Linked DNA regions of Sus scrofa. The main gene of each other region encodes a partner of the protein of the gene in region 2 in a complex. Links are inferred from orthologs where the notes say so. Each region holds a gene or a part of one and is shown on either strand. Other genes may lie near its edges.

What was found.
Region 1: EIF3G (region 2) and EIF3J share a complex: the UniProt entries of both Homo sapiens proteins name them as parts of the eukaryotic translation initiation factor 3 (eIF-3) complex. The link is inferred for Sus scrofa from reciprocal best matches to the Homo sapiens genes EIF3G and EIF3J.
Region 3: EIF3G (region 2) and EIF3M share a complex: the UniProt entries of both Homo sapiens proteins name them as parts of the eukaryotic translation initiation factor 3 (eIF-3) complex. The link is inferred for Sus scrofa from reciprocal best matches to the Homo sapiens genes EIF3G and EIF3M.

What each region holds. Positions count from the first base shown.
Region 1 is NC_010443.5:127,012,636-127,023,178, forward strand, and holds the start of EIF3J (eukaryotic translation initiation factor 3 subunit J), read right to left. Parts: upstream 6,630-10,543; 5' UTR 6,496-6,629; coding exon 6,447-6,495; intron 6,362-6,446; coding exon 6,258-6,361; intron 1-6,257. UniProt on the Homo sapiens protein: Component of the eukaryotic translation initiation factor 3 (eIF-3) complex, which is required for several steps in the initiation of protein synthesis.
Region 2 is NC_010444.4:68,964,357-68,975,074, reverse strand, and holds EIF3G (eukaryotic translation initiation factor 3 subunit G), read left to right. Parts: upstream 1-4,426; 5' UTR 4,427-4,519; coding exon 4,520-4,539; intron 4,540-4,679; coding exon 4,680-4,726; intron 4,727-5,269; coding exon 5,270-5,353; intron 5,354-5,461; coding exon 5,462-5,550; intron 5,551-5,710; coding exon 5,711-5,770; intron 5,771-6,763; coding exon 6,764-6,868; intron 6,869-6,967; coding exon 6,968-7,157; intron 7,158-7,857; coding exon 7,858-7,965; intron 7,966-8,074; coding exon 8,075-8,211; intron 8,212-8,294; coding exon 8,295-8,401; intron 8,402-8,739; coding exon 8,740-8,755; 3' UTR 8,756-8,854; downstream 8,855-10,718. Other genes in the region: P2RY11 (P2Y purinoceptor 11), read right to left, coding at 9,157-10,262. UniProt on the Homo sapiens protein: RNA-binding component of the eukaryotic translation initiation factor 3 (eIF-3) complex, which is required for several steps in the initiation of protein synthesis.
Region 3 is NC_010444.4:28,258,434-28,268,437, forward strand, and holds part of EIF3M (eukaryotic translation initiation factor 3 subunit M), read right to left. Parts: intron 7,445-10,004; coding exon 7,361-7,444; intron 6,507-7,360; coding exon 6,407-6,506; intron 5,800-6,406; coding exon 5,718-5,799; intron 2,088-5,717; coding exon 1,944-2,087; intron 783-1,943; coding exon 722-782; intron 265-721; coding exon 144-264; 3' UTR 1-143. UniProt on the Homo sapiens protein: Component of the eukaryotic translation initiation factor 3 (eIF-3) complex, which is required for several steps in the initiation of protein synthesis.

The DNA.
Region 1 (10,543 bases), on a different chromosome or scaffold from region 2:
GACAGTTTTTAAACCGTCTCATCAGTGCAAACATGAGGAGGTTACCCAGAATTCCACTATACAATCAATTTTAGTGGCAAAACAAGTGGTTCCTATCAATTAGTCCTGGAAACAACCATGACATCTGCTCTTCCAGTTCATAAAAGGACCATGAAAAGCAAGCCTTGCCTTATCATAATATCATAAATTGACTATACTTCAATAAAACATTTAAAAATGGAGAGAGAGAGAGAGAGAGAAAAAAAAAGCAGCCTTTGCCTGTCACCCTTACCTTATAGTGCTTGAAACAAGTCTTGCCCTGATGTTACTCCCACTTTAGGGACAAGTCCCTAAAGAAGGGAGCATGGTGATGTCAGCCAAAAATGACTGACCATACTTCCAATAGATGTAATCTCAGATGCAGAAGGCCAGGTAGCTTTCCCAGGAACTTAGTTTTTACTTCTTCAGTTATAAAAGTACATAAAAAGTAGGATATCTAAATCTGCCCAATTTTCCATAAACATCACAATTTTGTAAATGCTAACAATCAATTCAGATAAAATGCAAGGTTCCTAGAGAAACACCTAAAATTAACTCTTGAAATAGGGAGTAAATCTATAATTTAGTAAGCCCTAAATGACTCTTTGGTTCAAGAGATTACCTATCAATATCCAATTAAATTCTTCACTCAATTATTTTTGGTAGCCAATAAATCCTCTAAAAATAATATCCAATTTATCTCTCAAAGTATCAACCAGGTTACTCTCCTAAAATGCCTAGTTTCCTTAGAAGAGAGACTATTTATAAACTACCCACTTATCTATACTCTTGTTCTATAGATACACACCCAGCATCATTTGAGCTGTTTTCTTCTGAAAGGGATGGCTGCTTTTCAAGTTTAAAGCCTGCTTCCCAATCGAATATGAATAAGAACTGAAACAAAACAAATTTTTTAAATCCTTTCTTTTTATTTCTAATAATGCAGCCAGTATTTGGTTAGTCTGTCATTTTTACAATGTACAACTACACAATGTCACATGCAATGAGAGAACACATTTAGGGCTGAAAATGCTTTCCAACTTAAGCAAGATATATTTATAGATCGTCAAATAGACGTAGCTTCAAATGAGCAGTAAAATTCTTCTGTCCCATAGCAATAACCCATTAACTGAAATATACTCCTCCCTCCTTTTCCTCTTTTAAGTAGTTTGGCTTAGATAAAGCATAATCTCTTGCAGGAAACGTCTTTTACTGGTTTTCTGTAAGCTGTATCAACCTACTCTGACAGACTTCAGAACTCTAGTGAGCTCCTGCCATAGGCAGACCTACCAGCAAAGTCTACTTTTTAAAAGAAGCCCAAATATTTTTCCATCACCTCAGAAATATGCTGGTCTCTAGAAGCCATGGTACCCGCCTCAATAAATTCTACTTCATTTAATTCAATTCATTAAGTTTTCAACATCCTATTATGGCTTAGCATTCAGCTGAATTCCATCTTGATGCCAACTTCTCTCATATTCAGAACTGTTATCAATCAAATTCTTGGTTAAGCTAGGTCAAGAATAAGACAATGAACACTAAACAAGTGGCGTATTTATTTTCAATGGTACAGCATGATAATTAAATGAGGTTAAGTATTTTTCAGTAACAAACATGCTTCCTAACTAAAAACTTCCTAGTTTATAAAACCTGTTAGGGTATTGAAATGATATAGTTAGTACTGTCTTCAAAATAATCTGGTTGGGAGAGGAGAGCAGTAACTGGGGATATAGAAGAAATAAGATTGGTCATGGGTTTACTAAATTTTTCTTTGTACTTATTTCTCACAAGAAGTTACACACACATACTTGCAGATACCATTTCCTAGCAAAATGCCCACCTTCTGAGAATTTCCCAACAATCTCCCATTTCTCTGAAATGTAGATCCCTTACTTCAGAAGTGCTGTTTCCAAAGCTTGAAAAATGTCCTTACTCTAGTATATTTAAACTATTAAACAGGATTGAAGTCTAACAGGCAGTTCAATGGGTAGGATAAGGCAGGCAGTTTTCTATTAAGTCAGTTCTTTAGGATCTTCCCAGGAACTTCTGCATGCCACAGGGGCAGCAAAAAAAGAAAAAACTCAAAAAACAAACTCTACACATTCTGAATAAATGTAGCTTCGAATATGTTTTACTGAAATGACAGGAAACTAGTAAAATGGAGTAAAAGTTGTTTTGTTCCTGCTTGCACCAATGGATGGATACTCACTGCCTTCTTAACAGTCTACACATCATTCCAGCAACACGGAAAGAATCCAGAGATACATGCCAAGCAAACAATTCTCCCCACTGCCTCTGCATAACATCAGGAGGATAATAAGAAAGGGAAAATAATTTGACAGGAAAGTACGCTCCCTAGTTCTCACTTTTCTTTTTTTCTTTGTCTTTTTGACTTTTCTAGCCCCGCTCCCAAGGCATATGAAGGTTCCCAGGCTAGGGGTTTAATTGGAGCTGCAGCCACAGGCCTACGCCACAGCCACAGCCACAGCAACAAGGGATCCAAGCCGGGTCTGCAACCTACACCACAGCTCAGGGCAATGCTGGATCCTTAACCCACTGAGCAAGGCCAGGAATCAAACCTGCAACCTCATGGTTCCTAGTCAGATTCGTTAACCACTGCGCCACAACAGGAACTCCCTAATTCTCACCTTAAATGGGAAGAAGCTTGGGCTTTCCCTCATGAATATTAACAGTTCTATAGTTTCACCCAAATCCACTCTGTCACTTTCAGACAGCTCCTTGCAAAGTCAAGGGCATCAAAATGCTATGTCTACTTAAAGACAGTAAACTACTGGAACAAGTTACTCTAACACAGACCTCAGTTTTCCTTTCATTTCTCAGGACATTACAAACGACATTAAACCTATACTCTTAAATAAACACTGGATGCTGACATAAACTGAAGAACTTAACTGTTTCTACATACTTTACTTTTGAAGACTTTTAAAAAAATTCACATACAGTATTATTTAAGGACTAGGAGTATTTTTCCTGCTGGAAACTAAACTTTGCTTGCATCCCCTTACAAAAGGATTAAGTGCTAAAACATGAGAATTCAGAAATTTGGTATTATAGCTATCCCTTTTTTGGCTGCACCCACGACATGTGGAAGTTCCTGGGCCAGGGATCAAACCCACGCCACACAACAACTCAAGCTGCTGTAGTGACAATACCAGATCCTCAACCCTCTGAGCCATGGAACTCCTACCCCTCTTTTTGAAAGTTCACTTTACACCACTTCGGAACGCTTTTATGAATACCTACATTGGCACCTGTGTTCACTAGATGAAAGAAATCCAAAGAGGATTTTTGCTTTTGTGACAAGTGAAAACAGTATTCAGCATTTGTTTTGCCAGGAGCCATTAGAGAGGCAGCGTGCATCCCAAGCAGCAAGACTTGCATTGCTAAGCTCCTTTCCCAAGCTACCCAGTATCTCAGCATCAAGGTACCATACACAGCTTTGCACTGTATCTGTAAGCATTTGTGCTTTATCTTGATTTATTTTGTGCATCTGTTAGCAAGATGTGTCCTAAGGTTAACTGCTTCTTTTAGCTTAGGAAAGGTTTCATAGCAATGCTCTATTTTGGGGGGTAGCAGGGAAAACCTGTACTCACTAACATTGAAGGTGACAAATTTCAACTCTAGATTGGTAACCTCTGAGCACGCAAAAACTTGCTTGATAACCATGGTCATTCCATTCAAAACAAATTCACAGTAAACAGCCATTGTGGAGAGAACTTACTCCTTCAAGCTTAATAAACCACAAACTGTGGCACAAAAATAACCCTCAGCTACTAGATCTACACAGCCTTAACAAATTTTCCATTAACCAGAAAAATTAAGACTACATCCTCAAGTGAGACGGAATTAACATTTATTGAACGCCTACCAAGTGCCAGGTAACTATGCTTAATGCTTGACACATTATCTCATTTAAAATGCAAAAGGAGTTCCCGTTCCCGTAGTGGCACAGTGGAAAGGAATCTGACTAGGAACCATGAGGTTGTGGGTTCAATCCCTGGCCTCGCTCAGTGGGTTAAGAGTCCGGCATTGCTATGAGCTGTGGTGTAGGTCGAAGACTCGGCTGGGATCTGGTGTTGCTGTGGCTGTGGTGGTGTAGGCCCGCAGCTACAGCTCTGATTAGAACCCTAGTCTGGGAACAAAGGTCTGGGAACCTCCATATGCAGCAGGTGCAGCCCTAAAAAAAGCAAAAAACAAAAACAAAACCCCCCAAAAAATAGAAAATGCAAAATAATTTCCTGAGGTAGCTTCTGTGAAGACTGGGAAACTTAAAAAATTTAAAAATTCTTTATAGAAAATGTCAAGACAACAGCATAGATTCTGGTCTGTCTGATTCCAAATTCCAGGAATCAAACTACTCCATGGATACCTTATCTTAGAAATCTTTGGAGAAACTAAACAGAAATAAACCAATATTTCAACATGGAAATAAAATGAACAAGTTCAGCTTTCTATTCCAAGATCTACATCAAAGTTTCTGTAAAAGAAGTACGCTATTTGTATAAAAGAAAGAAATTCTGCACTTAAAAATGACTGGACAAGATGATCTTTATGGTCCCTCACCAATTAAAAATGTCCAAAATTAATTTCAAGTGGCTAGAACTGTATTTATCAGGATTGATGGCATTTATATCAAATAATTTCAGGCACGCTACCTCATGATATTAATCCAGACTACTTTATTCAAACTTCGTATTTTGGTAATTCTTTCCTGATTTCTCTAGTTGTTTCTTCTCACTCATTCCTAATTTTCTTAACAGATGTCTTAACTCCTACAACCACTATGCACAGAAAAAGTAAAAGGATAAATCTGAACTAAAGGTTCAAGACAGAAAATCTGCCACCACGTAGGGAGGTAACTAGTATCTTGCAATGAGGCTAACACAATCCATTCTCATGTCTACACAACATGTAAATGAAGCATCTAAGTATCTTCACAATACTATTGCTCATTTATTAATCCCAAGGTCTGCAAAACTCAAATCATACTTGAACCTCAGGCAATTCAATGAATTGAACATCCACCTCATCAGATTCAGGAGAAAAGGGTACAATCTAAAAAAGGCAATATTAATATGAAGCTCATAGTGATTATCTAGCTTAAATTTTTTTCAACACAAGCAGAAGGACTTGTAGGGTTGTCAAAGTGAGCTGAAGGGTAAACATTCACCAAATGAATCAAAACCATAAAAAAAATTTCCAAATCATACAAAACTTGATTTTCACAAAAATGAAGTATTTGAGAACTTAGTTAATAAGTCTTAACATTCCACCCTTGAGACTCTGTAGATACTTGAAAACAAAAACAAAAACAAAAACAAAACGCAGTAGTCATAATGTCATCTGAAGTCTTATGATGAGCCCCCAGGAGTTTTCATAAACAAACAGCGAGAGTAAGTTGGGTTCAAATCTATAAGGCATAGGAAAAACACACAAAAAATCACTGTCTCCCTCGTCTTCTCCAACCTTCAAATCTTCATTATTTCCTTATGCTTTCGTGTGTAGGTTATTAAAAACTCACTCTGTAAACCTCTCCATTTTTCAGGTCGCTGTGTGGACTACCCAGGTTTCTGACCACTAACTGCTAGCTATCTCAATACTCAGTTCACCCTTTTACCATAGGGTGGGAGAAAGGAAGCTAAAAATTCTTTCATTTGCGTGGGGGGAAAAAAAGGTGGCTGAAATTAAATCATAATATTTCACTCCTCTAACAGCTCGAACAAACTCTTCAAATGAAGCTTGGGATGTAAATGAGTTACTGGCCTGGGGAAACCTGAGCTCGAAAAAGCAATGGGGTGCAAGACTTTCCATATGGGATAAGCCAGAGGCTCCATCCTCAACTTCCCAGTCTCACCACTGAAGAGCAGCTCCGGACCGCGAAGTTTGCACGTGGGCCGGTCCAGCCTCTGCTGTCACCTCCCGTCGCCAGTTGGCGAGTGGGATCCAGGCCGGAGTGCGGTCCTTCAAAGGGATGGGGCTGGCGTCCTCGCCAAGGAAATCCGAGAGACCACGCTATCGGCCTCCGGCCCCCAGGGCCGGCGAGCGAGGGGAACAGGGCACCACCAGGCCCTACGCTTGCGCCTAGACCCACAGCCCGCAGGCCGGGGCGGCGCCTCTGGGCCCAGAGTCCGTCCGACCGACCGCCCCTCGGCGAGCACCCCGGCCCGCGACGGCGCCAGCTCGCTCCCGCGCTGGCCGGAGCCCCGACCCGCACCCACCTTGACGTCCTCGTCCTCGTCCTCGCCTTCCCAGCGGTCCCCGCCGGCGGTGCCGCCGCCCCCCACCTTCCGCACTGGGTCATCCACGGAGAACGTGTCTGCGTCTACGGAAGAGAGCGAGCTGTGTTAAAGCTTGCTTGGGCGTGGGGCTGGCGCCAGCCCCGGCCTACCCCCGGAACTTCTCCTCACCCCAAGAATCGGAGTCCCCCGCCGCTGCTGCCGCCGCCGCCGCCGCCATCTCGCGCCGGGTATGAGCGTGTGTGAGGCGACAGCGAGCGAGGAGTTAGCGCGGCAGTGAGTCACTGGATCTGCTCTCGTTTGCCGGCGCGGGGCAGGCTGGGACTGTGGCTGACTTAACGCCGGGGCCCAGGCTCCTCCCCCTCTGGCGGCGGCGGCGGCGGCGATGCTCTCGCGGGCGGGAAGGGGGCGTGGAACGCGGTGGGCGAGGCGGAGCGTCCAGTACCCCACGCACCCAGCAGGGTGGTCCTGTCTGCTAGTGGGGTGGGGAGAGAGGAAGAGGCTAGGAGGCAGCCACCCTACGCCCTGGGGAGAAAAATGTAAGTGCGGCGAAGTTAGCAGGGCAGTCCTTTTCCCGGTGCTTGGCTCTCTCCTGCCCTTGCCATCCTAACCCATACCCGCCCGGACCGGTCGGGTGCGCCCTCCTTCTGTTCACATGGATCGCCACCCTTGGCCTCTGGCTGGTCCCAAGGAAACCCGCAGCCTCTCCACGCGGCACTCAGAAGTGGGCTCTGAACGCCGAGCCCGCCTGTGGCGGCAGTCGCCTGGCTCCCCGACCCCAGGAGGGTGCGGTCGCTGGCGGAACGAGGCGGGATCCCTCTGGAAGCCGGTGGTGCATGGGGCGGCCAGGAAGAAGCGAATAGAGAGGGCCAAGCTCCTGGCAGTCTTCCCAGTCAGGGTGTTCAGTCAGCTCCTGGCACGTTTGCCTCCAGGTAGTCACGAAGATATGGAAGGGAGTCCCCATGTTCAAGAATTTTTCCTTCCTGTGAGCCCCCTGAAGTCAATACATTATTCATTCTTTTCGCAGAATAATTTCGGAACTCGATCTGCGCTAAGCGTAAGCTCTAGCCTTGTCCTCGCTCACTCAAGTATAGACATATAAACAAATTTCGACACAGTGAGATGACTGCAACAAAAAGGCATTGTGAGGTTTAGTGTAAAAGGATAGCATTAACCGCAGAGAAGAGAGGTAGGATATATGAAAGGCTACCTGAGGGTAAGTGAGGCCGATAAAGAGTTTTAAAGACCAACCAAGTGAAATGTGTTCAGTGCCTTTTATGCTTGTGGTCCCTGTTCTGACTGAATGGCGCAATCAGAGATAAGCTGAAAAGATAAATTTATAATACTAAAGGGTTTAAGATGAGCTAAGCTGCACCTAGCTTGGGCCACTGAGCTCCACTTCAGGATTTTAAAAGGTGAGCTGTTAAACATATTTTTGTTTTTGTTGTTTTCTTAATTTCTTAGTTTTGAATATGTAACATACGTACTTGGTACAACATTCATTCAAATGGGTATATAGGATGATCAGCCATTATGTTCTTTCTGGTGGCAACCAGTGTTCCCCATTTCTTATGTATCTTTTTCAGTGAGTCTACAAATAGACCACATTTTATAAAGATGGTCTTCCAAAAGATATTCTGCAGCCCAGTTACTCAAAGTTTTTTCCTGATCAGCCACACTTGGGAGTTTGTTAGAAATGTAGAATCTTAGATCCCAGCCCAGAATCAGAATCTGCCTTTTAAGAAGATCTGAGGATGGGGAGTTCCTTTTGTGGTCTAGTGGGTTAAGAACCTGACTAGTACCCATGAGGTTGCCAGGTGGATCCCTGGCCCCGCTCAGTGGGTTAAGGATCTGCTGTCGCTGCAAACTTTGGTTTAGGTCGAAGTTGCTGCTCTGACCTGGTGTGGCTGTGGCTGTGGCATAGGCCAGCAACTGTATCTACGATTGGACCCCTAGCCTGGGAACTTCCATATGCCACAGGTCTGGCACTAAAAAGAAAAAAAAAAAAAAAAATCTGTGGATGACTGTGAAGCATGAGAGGCTTTAATCCCTTTATAAAGAGGGATTGGAAGGAGGCAAGACTGGTGGCAAGGAAAGGCTAGGAAGAATGTAAGGTACCTAGGGCACAATCTGTTTTTATTCAAAGTTTTATCTCCAGCATTTGGCACAGTATCTAATACATTAGTAAATATTTTATGAAGTGAGACTACAACCCTAAAGTAAGGCAATGGCAATAGAGATGAAGGAATCAATGTGAGAAATAATTAAAAGTCAGAATCAACAGAATTTAGTGACTGGTGATTAATTTTGTGTCAGTTGGGGTAGGCCATGGTACTGTTTTGGGTTAAACAGTAGTCTAGTTGTTGCCGTGAATATGTTTTTTTGTTTGTGATTAACCTTTAAATCAGCAGACTTTGAATAAAGCAAATTACACTCTGTAACGTGATGGGTCTCATCCAGTCAATTGAAGACATTAAGAAAAACACTGAGGAAAAAGAAATTCTGCCTCCTGACTGCCCGTGGACTCTGCAGCATCAGCTCTTCTGTGGGTCTCCAGCCCGCTGACCTGCCCTGCAGATTTCAGACTTGCCAACTCCCACAATTACGTGAGCCAATTTCTTAAAATAAATCTTTCTTCCTTTACGTGCACATCCTATTGGTTCTGTTTCTATGAATAATCCCAGTATAGTGACTGACTGGATATGGAAGAGGAGGGGAAGGGAGCAGTAGAGGATCATGCCTTTGGACACTGAGTGAGTGGAGGTAACACCTGGCAGCTATCCTTGCTCTCTTTTCCCATCTACCCCTTAAATTCAGACCATCACCAAGGTCTGCAATTTACTTCCAGTATTAATCTTGAATTTATATAATTATCCCCCTGTGTCGTGCTTCCACCTTAATCCAAGCTTTCTATAGACTCTTCTACTATAACAACCTTCCAGTTGTTTTCTTTCTTTTACTCTTCCCCCTCCACAATCCGTTCACTACACACCAGGCAGTTTATTTAAAAAATGTAAATCAGGAATACCTGCTGTGGCTCAGTAGGAAAGAATCTGACTAGTATCCATGTGGACGCAGGTTGATCCCTGGCCTTGCTCAGTGGGTCAAGGATCCAGAGTGAGCTGTGGTATAGGTTGCAGATGAGGCTCCGATCTGGCGTGGCTGTGGTTGTGGCCTAGACCAGCAGCTGCAGCTCCAATTCAACCCCTAGCCTGGGAACCTCCATACGCTGAGGCTGAGCGTGAAGCCCTAAAAAGAAAAAAAGAAAAAAAAAATGCAAATCAGATCATCACACCCCTTCCTCCCAGTTGAAATCCTGCCTCCCATCAACCCTCTTATGCCATTCTTTCCCATTAATATCATTGCTGCTGGCCCTCTGAGGCTGCTTAAGCCTTTCCCTATTTTTGGACTTTGTATTTGCTGTTCTTTCTACCTACAGTGCTCTTGCTTTCTTCCTTTCTTTTTTAAGAAATTTTACCAGAGTATATTTGAATTTATCTTAGTTTCAGGTATACAGCAAAGTGATTCAGTGATACATATATATACTCTTTTTCAGATTCTTTTCACATGTAGGTTATTACAGTATTTTGAGTGGAATTCCCTGTGCTCTATAGTAGGTCCTTGTTGGTTATCTATTTTATATATCATGTGTGTATTACAGTGCTCTTTCCATACCTCTTTACATGGCTTTCCTTCCTCCTTAAACCCAAAGTTCAAATGTTACCTTTGCAGAAAGCACTTCCCTGATCTCTGTCCAGCAAGGGGCCTCACCCAATTACTCTAGCTCATCACTCTGTTTTTGTCATAGATTTATGACAATCTCCAGTGATCTTGTTTACTTATTTAATATCTGTTTAGAGCACAGGGATTTTGTCTGTGTTCTTTGCTGCTGTATTCCCAGTGCCTCACATGTAGTAAATGCTCCATAAATGTTTCTGAAAATGACTGGTGTTTCTCATCATAATAAGGAATGAGGATGAGTTTTAGCCACATGGATCCTGACATTACTATGAGACATTCAAGTAGAAATGTCTAGTATACATGGAGAGCTCTGAGCTACAGACAGTGGATTAGGAGTTATCTGATGATAGTGGTAGATGGAATCATGTGAGAGTAGAGGCCGTATGAAGATAGGATAGAATGAGAAGAAACCTTGAAGGATTTCAGTACTTACAAGTAGCCAGGGGAGTTCCTGTCGTGGCTCAGTGGTTAACAAATCCTACTAGGAACCATGAGGTTGCGGGTTCGATCCCTGGCCTTGCTCAGTG
Region 2 (10,718 bases):
TAAGGGTCCAGCATTGGGGTGAGCTGTGATGTAGGTCACAGAAGAGGCTCGGGTCCTGAATTGCTATGGCTGTGGTGTAGGCCGGCAGCTAAGCTCTGATTCAACCTCTAGCCTGGGAATGTCCATATGCCATGGGTGCCAGCCATTTAAAAAAAAAAAAAAAAGTTCCTATAGCATATGTCATTTTCTAGCTTGTTTACTCTCATCTTAGACATTTATTTATTTATTGTCTTTTTAGGGCCGCACCCATGGCATATGGACCTTCCCAGGCTAGGGATATAATTGGAGCAGCAGCTGCTGGCCTACACCACAGCCACAGCAATGCAGGAGTTTTAACCCACTGAGTGAGGCCAGGGATCAAACCGCGCATCCTTATAGATATTATTCGGGTTCTTAACCCACCAAGCCAAAATGGGAACTCCAAGATATATATTTTTTTAACATGTCCCACAAATGGATCTATTTCCTTAAAGACTGCATAGCACTTATATTGATGACAGAATAGCATAACTTGCTCTATTCAACCAACCTGGAATGGACAGATAGGCATTGCCAGTTTTTGCTATCATGAACAATACTGCCTGGATAGCTTATTCTCATATCTTTGTGTGTATTTACAAGTTTTTCTCACAGGCTGAATTATTAGCTGACTCAAAGGAAAATATATATGTGCATTTAAGTTTTAGTAGATATTGTCAACATTCCATCTAAGAGTTTACATAACCTCACATACTAAGAAAATATGGGAGAGTCTTTTTCTCTACATCTTTGCTACCATTGGGTAATAGCAATTTTTTACAGTTTTGCCCATCTGCTCCATTGTTTGGATTTTGTATTTCTTGGAGTAAACTTGAGTGAGGTTGCACAAATGTTTATTGGCCCTTTGTACAAACTTTGCATTTTTATCTGGGCTGCTAGACCACCCTCTTTCTTTTTTTTTTTTTTTTTTTTTTTTTTTTTGGTCTTTTTGCTATTTCTTGGGCCGCTCCCACGGCATATGGAGATTCCCAGGCTAGGGGTCCAATCGGAGTTGTAGCCACCGGCCTACACCAGAGCCACAGCAACACGGGATCCGAGCCGCGTCTGCAACCTACACCACAGCTCATGGCAACGCCGGATCGTTAAACCCACTGAGCAGGGGCAGGGATCGAACCCACAACCTCATGGTTCCTAGTCGGATTCATTAACCACTGCGCCACGACAGGAACTCCTTTTTTTTTCACCCTCTTTCTTTCACTCATTTTCCCAGCCTCCTTCCTGGTCTCCTACTTATTTATTCCTTTCCATTCTATTCTCTACATGCTTCCAGAATAATCTTTCTCATAAGAAAATCTGATTACATTGGTCACCACTCAAAATATGTCAGTGACCATACAGCCTGCAGGGTAAAGAGCCTATCCTCCTTAACCTGATTTAAAAATTCTTTTAGGAGTTCCCTGGTGGCCTAGTAGTTTAGGATCTGGCACTGTCACTGCTGTGGCTCTAGTCACTACTGTGGTATGAGCTCAATCCCTGGCCTGGGAACTTCCAAATGCCACAGATGAGGCCAAAAAAAAGTTATTTATAATCTGGTTCCTGTCCCATCCCAAATGTCCATTAATTGAACACATACTAAGTACAGACACCCCATGGGTGTTGGGGACCCAGAGATGACCCAAATAGGCAAATGTCTGCTTTCTGCAGCTGGCATTCGTGAGCAGTTTTTCTCAACTATTTTTTCATTATTGCTCCTTTCTAGGTGAGAAATGGAATTATCCTTAATTAATTAATTTTGTCTTTTTAGGGCCACACATGCAGCATATGGAGGTTCCCAGGGTAGGGGTGGAATTGGAGCTATAGCTGCTGGCCTATGCCACAGCAACATGGGATCTGAGATGGGTCTGCAACCTACACCACAGTTCATGGCAACATCAGGTCCTTAACCCATTGTGCAAGGCTACGGATCCAATCTGCATCCTCATGGATGGGAGTCAGTTTTGTTGTTTTTTAATTTATTTAATTTATTTATTTGTCCTTTGTCTTTTTAGAGCTGTACCTGTGGCATATGGAGGTTCCCAGGCTAAGGGTCTAATCAGAGCTACAGTTGCTGGCCTACGCCAGAGCCACAGCAACACCAGATCTGAGCTGTATCTGCAACCTGTACCACAGCTCACGGTAACACCGGATCCTTAACCCACTGAGCAAGGCCAGGGATTGAACCCACAACCTCATGGTTCCTAGTCGGATTTGTTTCCGCTGCACCATGATGGGAACTCCTGGATGGGAGTCAGTTTCGTTTCCACTGAGCCACAACTGAACTCCTATCCTTAATTTAAATCAATTTAATCTAATTACATTTAATTTTCCCCTAACAATAGAAATTAAATATTCATAAGTAATATTTTGTCCTGGAGGGTTGGCTTAGGAGGGCTATAAGCCATCACAATGTCTAAGGTTTTTTTTTAAGCCATCTAAGAATTTATTTTGGCTCTCTTGGGAGCCATATCACTCCCGTTGAGAATGCTCTAGGGGGACAGCTGGATTATAAACAAGTAAATGGAAAAGATTATATTAGAGAAGCCAAGAATGTTACTAAAGGAGGGAGGGATTTTCCCCAGTGGCTCAGTGGCTTAAGGATTTGGTGTTGTCACTGCTGTAACTCTGGTCACTGCTGTGGCACAGGTTCCATCCCTGGCCTGAGAACTGCCAAAAAAAGAAACAAACAAAAAAAGATGGAGTTCCCATAGTGGCTCAGCCATAAGGAACCCAACTAATATCCATGAGGATGTGGGTTCAATCCCTGGCCTAACTCACTGGGTTAAGGATTCAGTGTTGCTGTGAGCTGTGGTGTAGGTCGCAGATGAAGCTCAGATATGGCGTTGCTGTGGCTGTGGTGTAGGCCAGCAGCTGTAGCTCCGATGAGACCCCCTAGCCTAGGAACCTCCATATGCTGCAGGTGCAGCTCTAAAAGGAAAAAAAGGAAAGGAGGGAGAATGGTTGAAGGGGCCACTTGACTGCTTGATCATTTTGAATCAGGAAAGCTCTTCCATCGCTTCTCGGCCTTTTGGCTAAGATCAAGTGTAGGAAAGCTCTTCCCAAACAAGGAAGACTAGCTTTGGTTTCTTCAGCTGTAAAATGGAAATAATTTTCTCTCCACAGTTCTCGCAGAATTCAATAACTGAGCTTTATTGCTATTAATAACTTTTTTTTGTCTTTTTAGGGTCGCATCCACCACCATGCAACATACGGAGATTTTAGGGCCTAACCCACACCCGTGGCAAATGGAGTTTCCCAGGCTAGGGACTGAATCATGGCTGTAGCTGCTGGCCTACGCCACAGCCACAGTAACACAGGATCTGAGCCTCGTCTGTGACCTACACCACAGCTCAGAGCAACGCTGCATCCTTAACCCACTGATCAAGGCCAGGGATCAAACCTGCATCCTCATGGATTCTAGTCAGATTCATTTCCACTGAGCCATGATGGGAACTCCTGTTATTAATAACTTTAAATTTTTTAAAAGGTAAATGAATTAGAAAACTATATATAGAACTACCATATGACCCAGCAATCCAACTCTTGGGCACATATCCAGAGAAAACTGTCCTTGAAAAAGATACATGCGCCCATATGTTCATTGCAGCACTATTTGCAATAGCCAAGACTTGGAAACAACCTAGATGTCCATCGACAGATATGGATTAAGAAGATGTGGTATATATACACAATGGAATACTACTCGGCCATAAAAAAGAACAAAATAATGCCATTTGCAGCAACATGGATGGAACTAGAGACTCTCATACCAAGTGAAATAAGTCAGAAAGAGAAAGACACATACTCTACAATATCCCTTGTATCTGGAATCTAATATATGGCACAAATGAAAGTTTCCACAGAAAAGAAAATCATGGACATGGAGAACAGACTGGGGTTACCAAGGGGGAGGGGGAGGGAGTGGAATGTACTGGGAACTTGGAGTTAATAGATGCAATCTATTGCCTTTGGAATGGATAAGCAATGAGATTCTGCTGTACAGCACTGGGAACTATATCTAGTCACTTATGATGGAGCATGATAATGTGAGAAAAAAGAATGTATACATGTATGTGTGACTGGGTCACCTCGTTGTACAGTAGAAAATTGACATAACACTATAAACCAGCTATAATGGAAAAAATAAAAATCATTAATTAAAAAAAGAAGATAAATGAGTTCTTGCTGTGGTGTTGCTGGTTAAGGACCTGGACTTGCTACAGCTGTGACATTGGTCACAGCAGCGGCTGGGATTTGATACCTGACCGGGGAAACTTCCATACGCCACCCGCGGGGCCAAAAAAAAATGGTTAGAACTGCGCCTCTACTCAACTACCTAGTACCAGAGCCCAGCCTCTAATAAGCCAGCGCCTCTACCTCTGTCCACAGGGCGGCACTGTGGGCGCAGCGGCCGGGCTGCTCTAGGCGGCAGAACCGGAAGTCTCGTTCTCCCCACCTTCCGGTCTTTGGCCCAGGCTTGGGCTGCGTGGGGAAGGTTTTAGCTATGCCTACCGGAGACTTTGAGTGAGTATGAGGTCGTGGAGGGGGGCTTGGGAGGCAGATTGGGGGTCCTAGGGCGTATTATGGGGCTCGGGTGCCCCGAGGCCGTGGGATCCGGGCCTCGTCTCACCCAGCCTTCCCCCGCGGCAAACTTGTCCCCGCAGTTCGAAGCCCAGTTGGGCCGACCAGGTGGAGGAGGAGGGAGAGGACGGTGAGTTTGCCCTGTTGCCCAGGATCACCGCAGCCAGCCCCCAGCCCGTCACTGCCGCCTGCTCCAACCCCACCACCCCGACCCTGGCGCCGTTGTCTGACCCAGAATCTCCCTTCACGGCCAGCCCCTGCCCCGCGCCATCCTCATCAGGCCAGCCTGTATCTCCCATTACAGTTGTTCACCGGCCAGTCCCTCTTCCTCCCATGCCACCGTCAAAGTCCTTGGTACCAGCCTAGCTGCTCCCCTGCTCCGGGGAGGAAGTTGTCACAGCCTCTCTCCTGTCTTTGTACTAGCACGGGGATGCCTTTGGCCCGCCCCTGCCTTCATGCCTGGGATCCTCTATGCCGGGCATTGCTGGAAGTCACTACAGTCAGCTCCATGTCCCTGCACGACTCTCCCAGGACACTTCCTGGCTAGTCCCCTACCCTTGGTCCCACCTTTCTTAGCTCCCGGGAGGGGCATCATCCCAAAGGTCCCTCCATTTCAGCTTGGGAGCTCCCCCACCCCCCAGCTGACCCCAGCTCCCCACACTCCCTCTCACAGACAAATGTGTCACCAGCGAGCTCCTCAAGGGAATCCCTCTGGCCACCGGGGATACCAGCCCGGAGCCTGAACTACTACCGGGAGGTGAGTGACAACCTCCCCGCCATCCCTGGGTTGCCTCTTCCCCTGCAGAGTTCCTGCCTGGTCCCCAGTACCCAGGGCTCAGTTCCTCTGTCTCTCCCCCTCTCCCAGCTCCACTGCCACCTCCCAAGGAGGTCATCAATGGAAACATCAAGACAGTGACCGAGTACAAGATAGATGAGGACGGCAAGAAATTCAAGGTGAAGGTTGGGGGAGGAGGTAGATGCCCTTTGCTTGGGGGCTCTTGGACTAGGAGAAAGTGGTGTGTGCTGGGTGGGTTGATGAGGAAGATACCCTGGCCCAGGCCCTCGGAACCTTAAGGAGCAGGAAGCTCAAATTTCTCCCCTCTCCTACCCACAGATTGTCCGCACCTTCAGAATTGAGACTCGGAAGGCCTCAAAGGCTGTGGCAAGGAGGAAGGTAAGACCCTCCTCATCCTGTCTTGGGGCCTCCCCCAGGGCTGACTCAGAGAAAATAAGAATCCTTTTCCCCAGTGCCTGTATTTATTTGGCTATGCCCGGGGCATATGGAAGTTCCCGGTTTACGGGTTGAATCAGAGCTGCAGCTGCCAGCTTACACCACAGCTACAGCGACTCGTGATCGTAGCCACACCTGTGACCTAACCCACAGCTCAGGGCGATGCCGTGTCCTTAACCCACTGCGCAAGGCTGGGAATCGAAGCCATGGATACTGCTGAGCCATAATGGGAACTCCTTAACTGTACCAATTTTGTTGGAGCGGAACTGAGGCCTAAGGGTGTTTGCACTCTGTCGGGGTCCTGAAAAGCCCAGCATGTGCAGGAGTAGGGGGGGTTGTCCGCCAGCAGAAACAAAGCCAAGTCCTCCCCTGAGATGGTCGTAGCAGAAAAAGTCATGGCAGTAAATACATTTGGCACAATTACCTGTGCGCTTTCTCTGCGTTAGACCCAAGCTCTTTGCAGGAAGCGTTTTCCCATTCAGTTCCCCTGGAATTCCAGGGAGGTGGGGGTCCATTGGGGTCCCTTTTCCTGGAGGAGGCAGCTAGGGTTCAGATTGCTTAGCTAGCTCTGGGCCCCTGGAAGTCTGGGTGACCCCTACGCACCCTTGAGCATCACTCCCTGGTAGGAGCTGGTCCGCTACCTGCACCACCCCAGCAGGAGTTGTTGGCTGTGGAGGGGATTGTCCCTGAGCCTCAGTCCTCTAATCTGGAGCATGGAGCCTAGAGCTGCCCTTGCCTCTGGAACTGGTGTGAAGCTAGGGCCTGGCATGCGCTCAGGGAACAGGAACTGTCTTTGTCACTGCTCTGAGGGTCATTTGGGGGAGGCTGGAGAATGGGGTTCAAGGCCCTGGAGCAGACATTGTAAGTCTAGGGAGCCAGCAGAGGGGTCCTGCTTGGCCTTGCTCTGACTTGTCTCTCATCCCACCCTGAGCTCAGAACTGGAAGAAGTTTGGGAACTCAGAGTTCGACCCACCAGGGCCCAATGTGGCCACCACCACGGTCAGTGATGATGTGTCCATGACATTCATCACCAGCAAAGAGGTAAGTAGGCCAGGAGGCTGGGGCCAGTGGCCAGGGTGGTGGCGGCAGTGGCGGGGGGTGCGGCAGTCCCGTCTGAGCTGCCTCTGCCTGCCCTGCCAGGATCTGAACTGCCAGGAAGAGGAGGACCCAATGAACAAGCTCAAGGGCCAGAAGATCGTGTCCTGCCGAATCTGCAAGGGCGACCACTGGACCACCCGCTGCCCCTACAAGGACACACTGGGGCCCATGCAGAAGGAGCTGGCCGAGCAGCTGGGCCTGTCTACTGGCGAGAAGGAGAAGCTGCCTGGAGGTGCTGGGGCCTGGGGACTCGGGGGACAGGGATTGTGTTCACCTCCAGGAGAGTTGTAGGTTGTCACCTGCTGTCTGAACAGGGCCACCGCTGTTGGCAGTTGTCATCTCCCACACAACAGCAAGGCTGCAGCCACAGTCCATGCTTGTGTGTGTGTATGAGAGAGACTGGCGGTGGCTGCTGTGACTGCTGGCGATGTCCCCTGTCCTCTCCTCATTAGGGGCTGTGAGAGCGGCTCGTGTAGGCTTGCACATAATAAATACACTTTGCCTGCAGTGTCTGCATGCACACACCCAGGGCAGACTCACTCATGTGACTGTAAGTTTGAGTCTGGACAGCTCTACGCCCCTGACTTATGTGTGCGACTCATTTGTCACCTGCCGTGTGTGTGTTGGGGGACAGGGGGTGGAACCTGGGGACTGTCCCTATCCCGTGTACCTGTATTTGTGTTCCTATGTTGTGAGACTGGGTGTCACTGTGGGTTCTCACTTCTTGTGCTGCTGGCGGGTGTATAAATGACGTCGGCTTCCCGGATGTGACTTTTAAGTTGTGGCCCTCAGGCCTCGAAGGGCCCAACCGTGTGTGTGGTTTGACAGACGGCTCTTGGGCTGGATGGTGGCCAGAGCTGCCGGCATCCTGGGGCAGATGGGTCCCTCCATCTGTGCCGGGAGAGGCTTGACCCGACCTTGTTGTCCTCCAGAGCTGGAGCCTGTGCAGGCCACACAGAACAAGACGGGCAAGTACGTGCCTCCAAGCCTGCGGGACGGGGCCAGCCGCCGCGGGGAGTCCATGCAGCCCAACCGCAGAGGTGAGGGCACCCAGTTGCCGGGCCGGCGGGGGCGGGCACTTCCCTGTATCCTGTGATCATCCCACGGGCAGGCGCGGCCCCTCACAGACACCTCTCCTTGCCCACTCAGCCGATGACAATGCCACCATCCGTGTCACCAACCTGTCTGAGGACACTCGTGAGACCGACCTGCAGGAGCTCTTCCGGCCCTTTGGCTCCATCTCCCGCATCTACCTAGCCAAGGACAAGACCACTGGCCAGTCCAAGGTGGGCTGGTGGCCATGGGGATGGGGAGGGATCCTTGGTCCTGTCTGTGCCCCATGTGCCCCTGACTCCACCCCCTCCTCCAGGGCTTTGCCTTCATTAGCTTCCACCGCCGTGAGGATGCCGCCCGTGCTATTGCTGGGGTGTCTGGCTTCGGTTATGACCACCTCATCCTCAACGTCGAGTGGGCCAAGTAAGACCCCTGCCCCTCCCCCCACACAGCGTCACTGCTGACACTCAGGCTGGCTGCAGGCCCTGCACCAGGTTAACATTCACCATGCCTGTCCTGGGGCACAGATCATTTATTGTCCTTTTCCTCTGGTGTGGAGGGTTGGGGCAGGACCAGGCTGGTCACTGCCGGTCTGTCTCTTTGTGTGTCCTGGGCCACCACCTTGTCTCACTCTGCCCCACCCCCCATCCCTTTTGAGGTCCCTATTGTGTGTGGCGGTGGGGGGTCTTGGGATTCTCTTAGGGGTATGAAGCCTCTCCGCTAACCATTCTCAGCCACCTCACGTCTCTCTCTCTCTCTAGGCCGTCAACCAACTAAGCCAGCTGCTGCTGCTCCGTCCCCAGCCCTGGGATCCTTCAGTGACCGAAGGCTGGGGGCAGGGGTCTCCAAGGGTAATAAAAAATCTCCAGTTGCCCAGTGCTGTTCCATTTATTCACAGATGTCGCTCACACTGTTGGGGGGTGGGGCCATCCTGCCCTCCTTCCTCCCCCTCCCTGATGTGGGTTTATTTCCTGGCCCTGTCCAGAGTTGGTGCTGTGGCAGAAGTTCCTGCCACTCTGGCTTCAGTGCTCCCTGGTCCCACTCTAGACCTTTCTGTGGAGGAGTACGCTTAGGGCCTATTGAGGATTCAGGGCCAGGGGCCTGCTGTGCTCTCAGCCCCTATTCTTTTGCCAGGTCCCAGGATCTGGTGATGAGGAGGGGGCTAGAGATGGTCCAGGTCATGGGCTCAACTCAGGGGACTGGGGCCCTGAGGTTTTGGGAGTAGCTGTGACATTGAGTGGCAGGGATTGGCTGGAGCACTCGGCCTTCTCCGGGGTCTGGCCCTCCCTGCAGCCAAGGCAGTGTTGGCGGCAACAGCCCAGGCTGGGCACCACCGCCATGTAGAGCAGCGGGTGGATGCAGATGGCCAGGGGGATGAGGCCCCGTGTTACCTGGTAGGCCACATATGTCCTCCAGTCCAGTGCCTTCTCAGCCTGGGCTGTGCTTGTGAAGCCTGGGCAGAGGGCCCTCCAGCGCTGCCGGGCATACACGTTGAGCACCTGTGTGACATAGTAGGGCACATAGGAACTAGCATAGAGGGCCACACCACTGGCTACCAGCACTATCACGTGCAGCTTGTTGGCCGCTGTCATGCCGTGGCTACGCCGCACGGCCCGCCCCAGGGCGCCATAGGCTGCCAGGTTGAGCAGCAGCGGCAGGCCACAGCCCAGGGCCAGCAGCACCAGGCCATAGACTCTGTAGGCCTCAAGCTGGTTGTCATCTGCCGTTCCTAGGCACTTGATGCAGGCCTCCGGTGTGGCCACAGTGCACCTGCCTTCCTGCTTCGGCCTCTTCAAGTGGGAGAAGCTGAGTGTGGGTGCAGCCAGCAGGGCTGCCAGCACCCAGCCAGCAGTGCTGATGGCCCAGGCGTGCTTGGGCTGCAGTTGGCTGTGGGTGAAGAAGGGATGGACAATGCCCAGATAGCGGTTGAGGCTGATGCAGGTGATGAAGATGACGCTACCCAGCAGGTTGCAGGTGAAGAGGAAGCGCTCCAGGCGGCAGGTGACCTCCCCATAGCGCCAGTGTTTGGGTGGGTAGAAGTAGGCAGCCAGCGGGGGTAGTGTCAGGGCATAGAGCAGGTCGCTGATGGCCAGTTGGGCGGAGAAGATCACGGCTGGGTGCCATGGGCGCTGCTCCCGTGTGCAGAAGCGGTACAAGGCCAGACTGTTGCCAGCAAGGGCCACCAGGAACTCAGCTACCAGCATGGGCCACAGAAAGTCTTCCTGGAAGCCACTGAGGATGCGGTCAGCAGCCGCTGAGAAGTGGGCTGGACAGTCCTTATCACCTGTGGGCAGAGGGTGTTGCTGAGTGAGCCCTGTCCCTGAACCTGGCACCTGCTCCCTTCAGAGTTCCAAGTGCCTCTGGCACCACATACCTACCACAGACTGGGCCTGCATCAGCCCTATGCGAGCCCAGTTTCACTGAGTGCTTTTTCACACCTGGCAGTGGGCACCAGCCACAGCTCCTTTGTGTGGAGGAAATCGGAGGCCCGGATAGAGGCCTTTCATTCAGCTGATGGTTACCAGGTTCTCTTTGTGTCCCGCACCATCAAGAACCAGCTGGGGAGAGTTCCCATTGTGGCTCAGTGGGTTAAGAACCCGATTAGTGGCCATGAGGATGTGGGTTCGATCCCTAGCTTTGCTCAGTGGGTCAGAGATCCCATTAAGGAGTTCCCGTTGTGGCTCAGTGGAAACAAATTTGACTAGCATCCATGAGGATGCGGGTTCGATCCCTGGCCTCA
Region 3 (10,004 bases), about 41 Mb from region 2:
CCTCTGAAGATTATGATTTCTTTTCAATTTCTTTTAAAGTTGCGACAATAAATGTCCAGACTATAGTCAGATTTCAGTCTATAATGTTTTACTGTGATTTAGATTTTTTTTCCAAAAAGAACAAAATTATATAGCATAAAAATTCAGGTATCAGAAAGACTCAAAAGGCTGTTTTTCACTTTGTTCAGGTTTTGTTTCCAGGCATTAAGTGTGTCATACAGTTGTTGCCATTGTTGTTTTCCAAATGTCCGATGTGTGCTATGACTGGAAAAATTAAAAACAAAAGTTATTAGCCAACCTTTTATCCTCTGGTATTCTTTTACAGTATTACTGACTTGTATCTAGTTAAAAACAAGGTTAAATACACATAGAAGACAATTTAGAGTTGTAAGAGAATAAGAAGCTTATTTAAAAAAAAAAAAATTTAGCCATATTGATCCTAAACCATCTATTTTCCTGAACTACATAAACCAGACACAGAAGTCATTAGTATTCTGGCCAGTGCTGAGCCATTAAATGAAATGTGCTGGAAAATAGGACTCTTTCATTAAATAAGCTAATCACATTCAGTCTCAACTTTAATAAAATTATGATGAATAGCAACTATTTAACTACAGTCAACTGATAAGAACACCACCTTGGGTTCTCTAAACATTTAAGTGAAATAATCCGAACAAACTAAATTGTTCTACAAAATGCTGTGAAGTATTAAGTGTCTTACCTGACAACTACTTTTCTCTGGGTTTGATCAATTTTGCAGTAGACCATTTTAGTTCTCACCGCTGAAAAAAGATGTTTTACACATGACATGTTATATGGGAAATTCCTAAGAAAAATAGCCTAAAGGAATGAAACTGTGACCATAAGCCATAATAAACTTTACAGTTTTCCAACATTATTTTACAAACTGGCTCTTTGAATTTAACAACAAGCATAACAATATGATGCAATCAAAAGGAAAGCAATGCATCTGTCCTCTGGTTGCTAGGCCTATCTGCATTAAATATCACAGAGGGTATTCATTAAGAATTCTAGTGCTGGAGTTCCGAGTGGTGCGGTGGGTTAGAGTGGTGCGGTGGGTTAAGATCCGACTGCAGCAGCCTGTGTTGCTCTTCAGAGGCGCAGGTTTGCTCCCAGGCCTGTCACAGTGCGTTAAAGGATCTGGTGGTAGGAACTTCCATGTGCTGTAGCTGTGGCCATTTAAAAAAACAAAAAGAATTCTAGGGTCCTATTCCTGCAATCATGCAGGGAAAGGGGGGGGGGTTCCCCTAATAAGGTATTAGTTCTTTATAGGACTACTTGAGACTCAAACCAAGCATTAGAAAGAAGCCTATCAACATTTCTGTACATTACTCTTAAAAACCACATAAAAAAAATCCTAATTAACAGTTAAATCACTTTACAATAAATGCAATTACTGGGGAAGAATTCTAGGCCAATTATAAAAAATTGATCATGATTAACATTTGCAGATCATTTACTATGTGACAGACACTGAGCTGAGTGCTTTTACCCATCTTAATTTAATCCTCACAACCACAAATTAACTCCTATATTCTGGTTTCCTAGAGGAAGATGTGGTTTCGAATGTAGGTCTGATTCTAAAATCTAGGCTTTTTTTTTTTTTTTTTCCCCCACAGCTACAACTGTACCTGCAGCATATGAAAGTTCCTGGGGCTGGGGGTAGAACTGGAGCTCCAAGCTGCATCTGTGACCTATGCCGCAGCTTGCAGCAATGCCAGATCCTTAATACATGCAATTTATGTTTCCACTGAATTTTCAATCTACGACAAATATAATCTGCTAACCTACTAAACATAACACATTTGTTACAAAAGGATCTAGCAATGTTAGCATAAAGCTCAGCTTCAAGAATAAAAATCTCATTTTCCATGGGGTAGGAGAAATCCTAGGAAAAAAATGAAAATGTTCCAGTTGCTTACCATCAATAACAAATGCTTCAACATCATCAGCTCCAATCTGAAGTTCTTGTTGCATTGTGTCAAAAGAAATTTCTTTATTTTCCACTGCCATTCCCATAAAAGTGAGTAGCCTCATTTTTGCCATATTCTGTTCATGTAGTAGGCCTGAGTAACACAATAGAGAAGCCAGGTAAGAATCCACTCTTATTAAAGACCTGCACAACACAACCCTTGTTTTAAAGTGTGGAAGTCACTGTGCGTGAGCATGTATACAGAATTAAGTTTCACAAAGTTTCTTGTATTTGCAAACCATAAACTGACCCCATAATTATGGAGCACCTAAAATTATTTCTCTATAAACGCATTTCTTTATTGCTTCAGTGTCAGAGGTGATTAAGTTCAAAGTTAAGAATGAGCTATCAATTGGTATTTTTAGGCACTAAAAGTTATGTAATTTTAATTTTTAATATTTATACAATTTATGAGATAGAGTACACAAAGTACATTTCATAAACATTTTTATTTAATTGCTTAAGCTTGTTTTTACTAATAGCTCTCCTCTTAAATACAAGATTACTTACTATCTGTTCTGTATCAGTGTTACTGGTAAATATGGAGTTTTAAAATACTTTAATACTTAAAAAAGTCAGAACTGCAAAAGTATGTTTATCATTTAACATTTACAGTTTTAAAATGATTAGTACTAGATAAATTAACAGTGATACTTTTTTAAGCTAAAGTAGAAAAGTACAAATTTTGCCTTGTAATTTCTAGTGAAACATTCTATTTACAATTACTCACATCACAAATAACTGTTAGACCTAGAAGGAAATTTAACAGATTACCTAGTCCCAATCCTATCTCTTAAAACACAAAATTGCAGAGGAAAGATATTAAGTGACTTATTAGTTACAAAGTGGCAGTACTAGGCCTAGAAAATAAGTTCATTTATAAATCACTAGAAATATAAGTTATCTACAAATCCTGAACATCTAAATTATTACCCATTCCTAAAAAGAAGCTGCAATATAACCCATCAAATATACTTCATTTGAGGCTAATTTCTTAATTACAAAAACAAGTTTCTAAAATTAATCTAGATTTACATGTTTCTTTTTTCTGAAATTTAAGATTATGTAAACTCAGCAAATGACTGATCAGGAACCCTTAAGTAATTAAGAGCCTCAAGTTGTATTGTTAAAAAAGTTCTAAGCACTCCATAAATAAATCTGAAATTTGTAACATTCATATATTAGCAGAAGCCTGGGGAAGCCCATTAATACAGGACATAATCGTCTGTTAATTAGCTGTAATTATAATGCAGGCTTTCTATTTGGCACAGATTCAACAAAAACATGATCATCATAACTCAAATGAATGAGGTATCCAAGTAAGTACTGCTAACTGGGTTTAATGGAAATCTACAAGCATCAAAAAATCAATTAGTGCACATTAACCCTAATTAACAAATGCAAATTAGATGCTGATTAACTTTCCGAAACAAGAAGGTAGCAACTGGATAACACCAGATTACATGTGGACATGTTAGGGCAATTCAGTTGACACAAGATAGTGCTACTGTTGGCCCAAGTTGTCAGTGTTAATAAAACAAAGTGTTTTGAGATAAACTGATGCCACCTGTGGAATCCAGACATTTTAACCAGAATTTCAGCTGTAATAAATGTTTAATGATACATCTAAAACCAAAATACATACTTAATGTCTTTCTCAAAGACAGACAAAGTTCTAATAAATGATTTCTAATTCACACAGATTGCAAGAAACAAAAGGCAAAACAGGGAAACTGATTTCTGGTTCGTACAATGAATGAAAGATGCTATTATGTTTCCCCTACCACAGACAGCAAATACTTAAGATTTTTCTCACTATCTGGCAATACAAGAATATTTCCTTAACATTATGAATTCTACAGACACAGTTCTCTTTTAATATGATAAAACTTCTAAAATTTCTAAGCTATCATTAGAAATAGTCTCAGTTGAATTTTACTGCTATTCTTTGTGCAGTTACAACTTACTATAAATCAAAAAACCTATCAGAGGATTGAAGATTATTTCTAGAATCAATTATGTAAAACCACGACCTTACATGTGGAAACGGGACTTTAAAAACACTTAAACTGATGTTTAAAGTCACTAGTACTTTAAAACAAAGAACCAAACTTAAAGCATTTAAGACTCCTGTTCTCAAAATCAAACTATTAAGCCAGTGAAGAAGACTAGTAGGAAAGCTGTGCTTTGTTTCATGAAAGTAGAACATTACCTTCAAAGATGAAGTCAGTGTTCTATGCCATATTTCAATTTTAAAGTTATAAAAAAATCTAATTTTATGGAAACATTTATTCATTACTAATATGTCAAAACCTTAATGCAGTAATAAAAAAATGTGCATCATTGAACAATTTCTGCATTGTCACTGACCCCTGTCTTAAAATGCTGCAATATAGAAAACGTAATTTTAATGCATGCAATAGCTTATGAACCAGTGCTCCTTTGAAACAGTCAATTACACATCAATGGGGGAGTGTCAAAGTGTTAATTACTACTCCTTTTTCTTTGGTGCGTAAATAAAGAGGTTGCTGACATTAACATTCCATCACATAGCTCATGCCACAAAACAAATTAACTGGGACAGAATGTGGTTTTCTGGGTCTAGTGCACCTGGCAAAGCCTTCAGCACAAACACACTTGCATCTCCTTTATATTGGTGTATTTCAAATGCTTATTATGTTCAGAATGATTCAATCTTTCCCAATTCCAATGGCTGCACAGAATTTACAGGTGATGGGAATTAAGATTACCAAATTGAGGACTAATAGTATAATCAAAGTAGATTATAAATGTATTCTTTACACCTCAGTCAGGAAGACTAACAATTCAACTTTAATATGGAAAATATCACTAGACTCTAATTCTGATTATTACCTAGTAGAAAAACAGAGTACTTGGTTTCAGTTGATGTCACTCTTTAAAAATGGGTTTAGAACAATTTAAACCTGTTCAACTAAATATTTTCTAAGTTTTCTCCCTGTAATTTCGGCATGTTAAAAACATGCTCGAGGAGGAAATACTGAATATATATGCAGTTTGCTCAGTGAGGATGAGTAAATCCAATTTGGCAACAATTAGTGAGCTTTGATGCTCTAGAAAGAGAACTCAAAGATAAAAATCACAAAGCTTATGAGCATCCCACTCTGGTGCAGCGGGATCAGCAGCATCTTACAGCACTGGGGTGCAGGTTCAATCCCCAGCCCGGCACAGTGGGTTAAAGATCTGACATTGCCACAGCTGCAGCTTGGGTCACAACTGGCTAAGTCTGACCCCTGGCCTGGGAACTCCATATGCTGCAAGGTGGCCAAAACAAAACAAAAAAAATCAAAGTTTAGACTTACTATGCTATCTTCAACAAAGTGTAATTAGAAAAGTTTCTTTTATCATGTAAAACCACTACAATTCCATTTCTAACCCCATCTACAATTTCACTTAGTTGTATCTTCTTAGCAATACAAAATACTTATACAATTTGTCAATGGAGGCGGGGGGGAGCCAACCGAGTAAAAGATACTACCTAAGAAGAAAAAAGCTATTTGTTACAATTATGACTATGGCTTTTAAAGTACCAAAAATGTGAATCACCATGTACCTAAGGAATAAGATCCTGACGTCACTGGTTAGGTTAATTTACACATAAGGCCATGTTCATATGTGCTAGGATCTCACATTCCCATCACTCTCTTCTACCACCCCTCCCCCAAGGAAAATCCTCAAAACTTACCAAGTGAATCAATGAAGTCTTTATTATTCTGATAAAACTTGACATATGATGCCAACTTAGCACTCACAAAAATGGTTAAAAGCTAAACAGATAGAAACAAAAAAACCTGTCACAATGGAATCAAGATTTATGCTCAAGATATTTTTAAAAAGACACTAACTCCCAGCAACAAGACTACGCATTTCTTTCTGGCAGAAATTTCAATCTGTTTGATCAAATTAATATCTAAACCATTTGCTTTTATCAGACTCAACTGAGATGAAAGAATAAGTAGATACAGTGAGCTCTAAACAGTGTACCCTAAGAGATGGTGGTAATGACATAGTACAAATAGAAAACAGCCCAAAATACACTTCATTTGAAAAGTGTGTTGTGTTTTTCAAATATCAGATTTATCTTGCTAATTGGAGCTAGCTGACACTGTATGCTAAAAAGAAATTTGTACTAAGTTAATAATGGCCAGGAAAGTGAGGAGATGAAGGAAAGGGGAAGAGGAACAGGAGTGTGTTCAGTGGTTGGAGAAACCCTTAATGCTGGTCCTAAATTTCAGTCTGTTCCTGATATAGAATGAATAAATAGTTCTCTTTCCAGATCTAATAGTCATGTTCATTAATATCAAGAGAGTTCTGGCTCAGTATGTTAGATTTAGGGGAAAAGAACATTTTTCACATTACAGATAAACTACTTACATCATGAATAAGCTCGCCTTCCAAAAACTTGACTGGTTTCAAAGTAAGAAGGTGGTCAAAAAGAAATGCATTTGGATCTTTCAATGCTCGCACAATACACCTTAATTAGAAAACAAAAATCCAAGCTCAGAGTCTTGAAATTCAGGTACTTTTCACTGCCTTTGTGGACTGCAAAATACACTCAACTAAGTAAAATATCTGAGAGTTCAATATACACATCATAAGAAAAAGCTACAAGATTAGGGTTAAAAAAAGTCAATCTATCAGCTATACATTTTAATAAAATTACCTGTACACAAAAATATAGCTGGAGAGTAATCAAACAATAAATACAACAGCAGTATTTAACCATATGCCAGACCCTAAGGTAAGTGCTTTAACATGTATCACCTCGTTTCATCCTCACAGCATCCTGAGGCACATACACTATTAACACGCTCATTTTATCAATGATGAAACTAGCTTAGAAAGAACCAGGAAGTGCTAATTAAGTGGTCAAGCACTTGAGCAGGCATTGTGACCTCAGAGTCAGAGACCTTTTCCACCAACACCTATCATGTACAGGTTATTGTGAAGCAAGAGCCCTATAAAGAAGTTATCTTAATTTTCTATTTCATAGATTTCTAAGTTTTTAGAAAGCCACCCATTTTCCCCCATCTACACAGCTGAATATTAAGGTAAAACTGACCCAAGATTAGGTTCTACTACTCATGTTGAGAACTGCCATTCCCATAAAACCCAAGAAAACAAACACCATGTGGTCATTTCAAATGTATCCTATGGTGCTCTCAACACCAAATCTTAAATTTTGGTATCTACATTAGAATCATCAAAGAGCACATGGTATCAAATGGCTTTGGATCACTGGTGGATGTATTCAGTCACATGACTGAAGACTGTAGCTCACCTCCACCCTGCTGAGAGCGGTCACTGGAACACAGTGTTTAACGTTACCTGTGAGCATCAACTCGAGCCTGGGAAGCATTGTCCTCTGTGTAACTTCCTAGCAATTCCACCATGACTTTTGATGCAGCATCACTGAAAAGAAATACAGCTTTAGGAATTTCAGAGTGTCATTACAGCCACTCATTCATTCAAAAATATTTACTAAGTGCCAAGTACTGTGCTGATGATGCATACAATGATGATCCAGAGAGACAGTCCTCCTCTAGGGGAAAGGTCATGGAACTTTCCTTTTAGTCAGAAAGAGGCAACTAAGGAAAAGTAACAAAAAGTAAGTGCCAAAAGGAAATAAACGGTGATGTAATAGAGTCATCAGAGCAGAGATAGGAAAGAAAAGACTACCTCATATGGAAAATGAGCAGGGAAAGTCTCTCTCTGAAGAAATGACATATAAGCTGAGATCTAAAGGATATAAAATAACTGGCCATGAAAAGTGCTAGAGGTGGAATGTGAGAGTTGAATGACTTTTCAAGCAGTGAGAAGACTAGGTATAAAGGCCCTAGGTGAGAAAAAAGTTTTGTTTTGGTATAGCTGAAGGTGAGCCAAGACCAAATATTTATACGACTCCACTAATGACATCCTTACAAACACCTTTAAAATTAAAATTATGTAGATTATCCATTTTAACTGCAGGGAAAAGAACAAAATAATTAAAGGCATTCATTCACCTCGAACTCCTAGAAAATGTTTAATAATAATGTTCCTCCTTCATTTCTTCCTTTAAACTGAAGAATCTTCAGCCAGTTATAGCAAGTTTGCTAAGTAGGAGAAGTAGCTGGGATTCCCCTCCCCACTTTGTGCTTTCTAAAAATCTTCCCATCTCCCACACACACATCTGGATTCAACCCGGGTAAAATAAAATCCATGCCATTTATTTTTAAAAGAGATATTCTACTCAGGGATCAAGATCACGGAGGAATAAGACATGGAGCTTACCTTCTCCCACAAACACATCAAAAAAAACCCACCTACATACAGAATGATTTGCACAGAACATCTACCGAATGCTGGCAGAAGACTTTAAAAACCTCCAAAAAGGGCAAGAAACCCTTCACATAACTGGGTAGAACAAAAGGAAAAAGAGAGAGCGAGTGAAAGGAATCAGGACGGGACTAGCACTCCTGAGAGGGAACTGTGAAGGAGGAAAGGAACCCACCCCTGGGAAGCCTACTGACAGATAAGCCAAGACGGAGGGACCTCAAAGCCACAGAGAAAAGCACAGCAGCTGGACTGAGGAGGGCAAAGCAGAGAGAGAGAGCCACGCACAAACCATCAATATCACCTCCCAAGACACCACAGCCTGAGATGCTTGGGCAGGGGCTGGGTGTGGAGACTCAGGCTCTGGAGGTCAGTTCCAGGGAGATGACTAGAGCTGGCTGTGTGGAGACAGCCTGAGGGGCGTTAGGGACTGGTGCACCAAGGGCTGTGGAGCGGAATGCCACAGCCAAGGGAAACTGGGAGATCTGGGCCCACAGGAGAAGCAAGGTGCTATTGTTGGGGAGGGCAGAAAGAGGAGTAGACCACCATAGGAATATCTTTCTCTGCGCATGCCTCGACTCTGAGAGTGGGGCTACAGGCGACGGGCCCCTCTTGCACAGGCTAAGCGCAACAGGGCGCTCCTGTGTGGTATACAGGTGGCAGGGGCAAACTCATTTATCTCATACTCTAGAAGTGGGCATGGCCTGCCACCACTAGGGGTCCATGAACAGGCACCACCTACAGCCCCAGTCATCTCAGAGGTCAGCACTGCAACCAAGCACCACCCTTTGTTGCTCTCACTGCCAAATGCTCTGGGTACCAACTACACCTGCCTGAGGGTCACTATCACTTCCCAGGGCCCTGCAACTAGGATTAGCCTACACAACCTTCCTGCAGGTCCTTGTCATTGTCAAGGACCCAGCAACCAGGCACTGGCTACAAGCCCTGTCCATTGCCTCCATCTCTCTGGAAGCACACCCAGAACCCTAAAAAGAAATCGTAAGCCCTCACAAAATACCCCAGGGGTGCTCACGCATACATACAGACCTCCAAAACTACAGTAGTTGTTTTCCCTAAACTCACAGAACAACAATACAAGCAAAATGAAGAAACTCAGGAACCATTCCCAGTTAAAATAGGAGAATTCACCTGAAGGAGCAAACAATGAAACAGACCTCTGCAGTCTAACAGACACCAAGTTCAAAAATGAGGTAATGAAAATACTGAAAGAATCAAGAGCAGATATGAACAGTAATGCAGATTACTTTAGAAAAAAACTAAAAAATATGAGGAGGAACCAAGAAAAATTAGAAAATTCATTTGCAGAGAAGCAAGCTGAGTTAAAGGCACCAAAGAGCAGAATGAATAATGCAGAGGAACATATCAGTGACTTGGAAATCACACAATCAGCACAGCAGACAGAAAACCAAATGAAAGAACATGACAGCAATGTAAGAGATCTATGGGATAATATAAAGGGGGCCAATCTACACATAATAGGGATTCCAGAAGGAGAAGTAAAAGAGGATGGAAAATATGTTTGGAGAAATTATGGCTGAAAACTTTCTAAATCTAAAGGAAACAGGTATCAAGATACAGGAGGCACAGAGGGTCCCAAACAAGCTGAACCCCAACAGGCCCACACCAAGAGCATTAT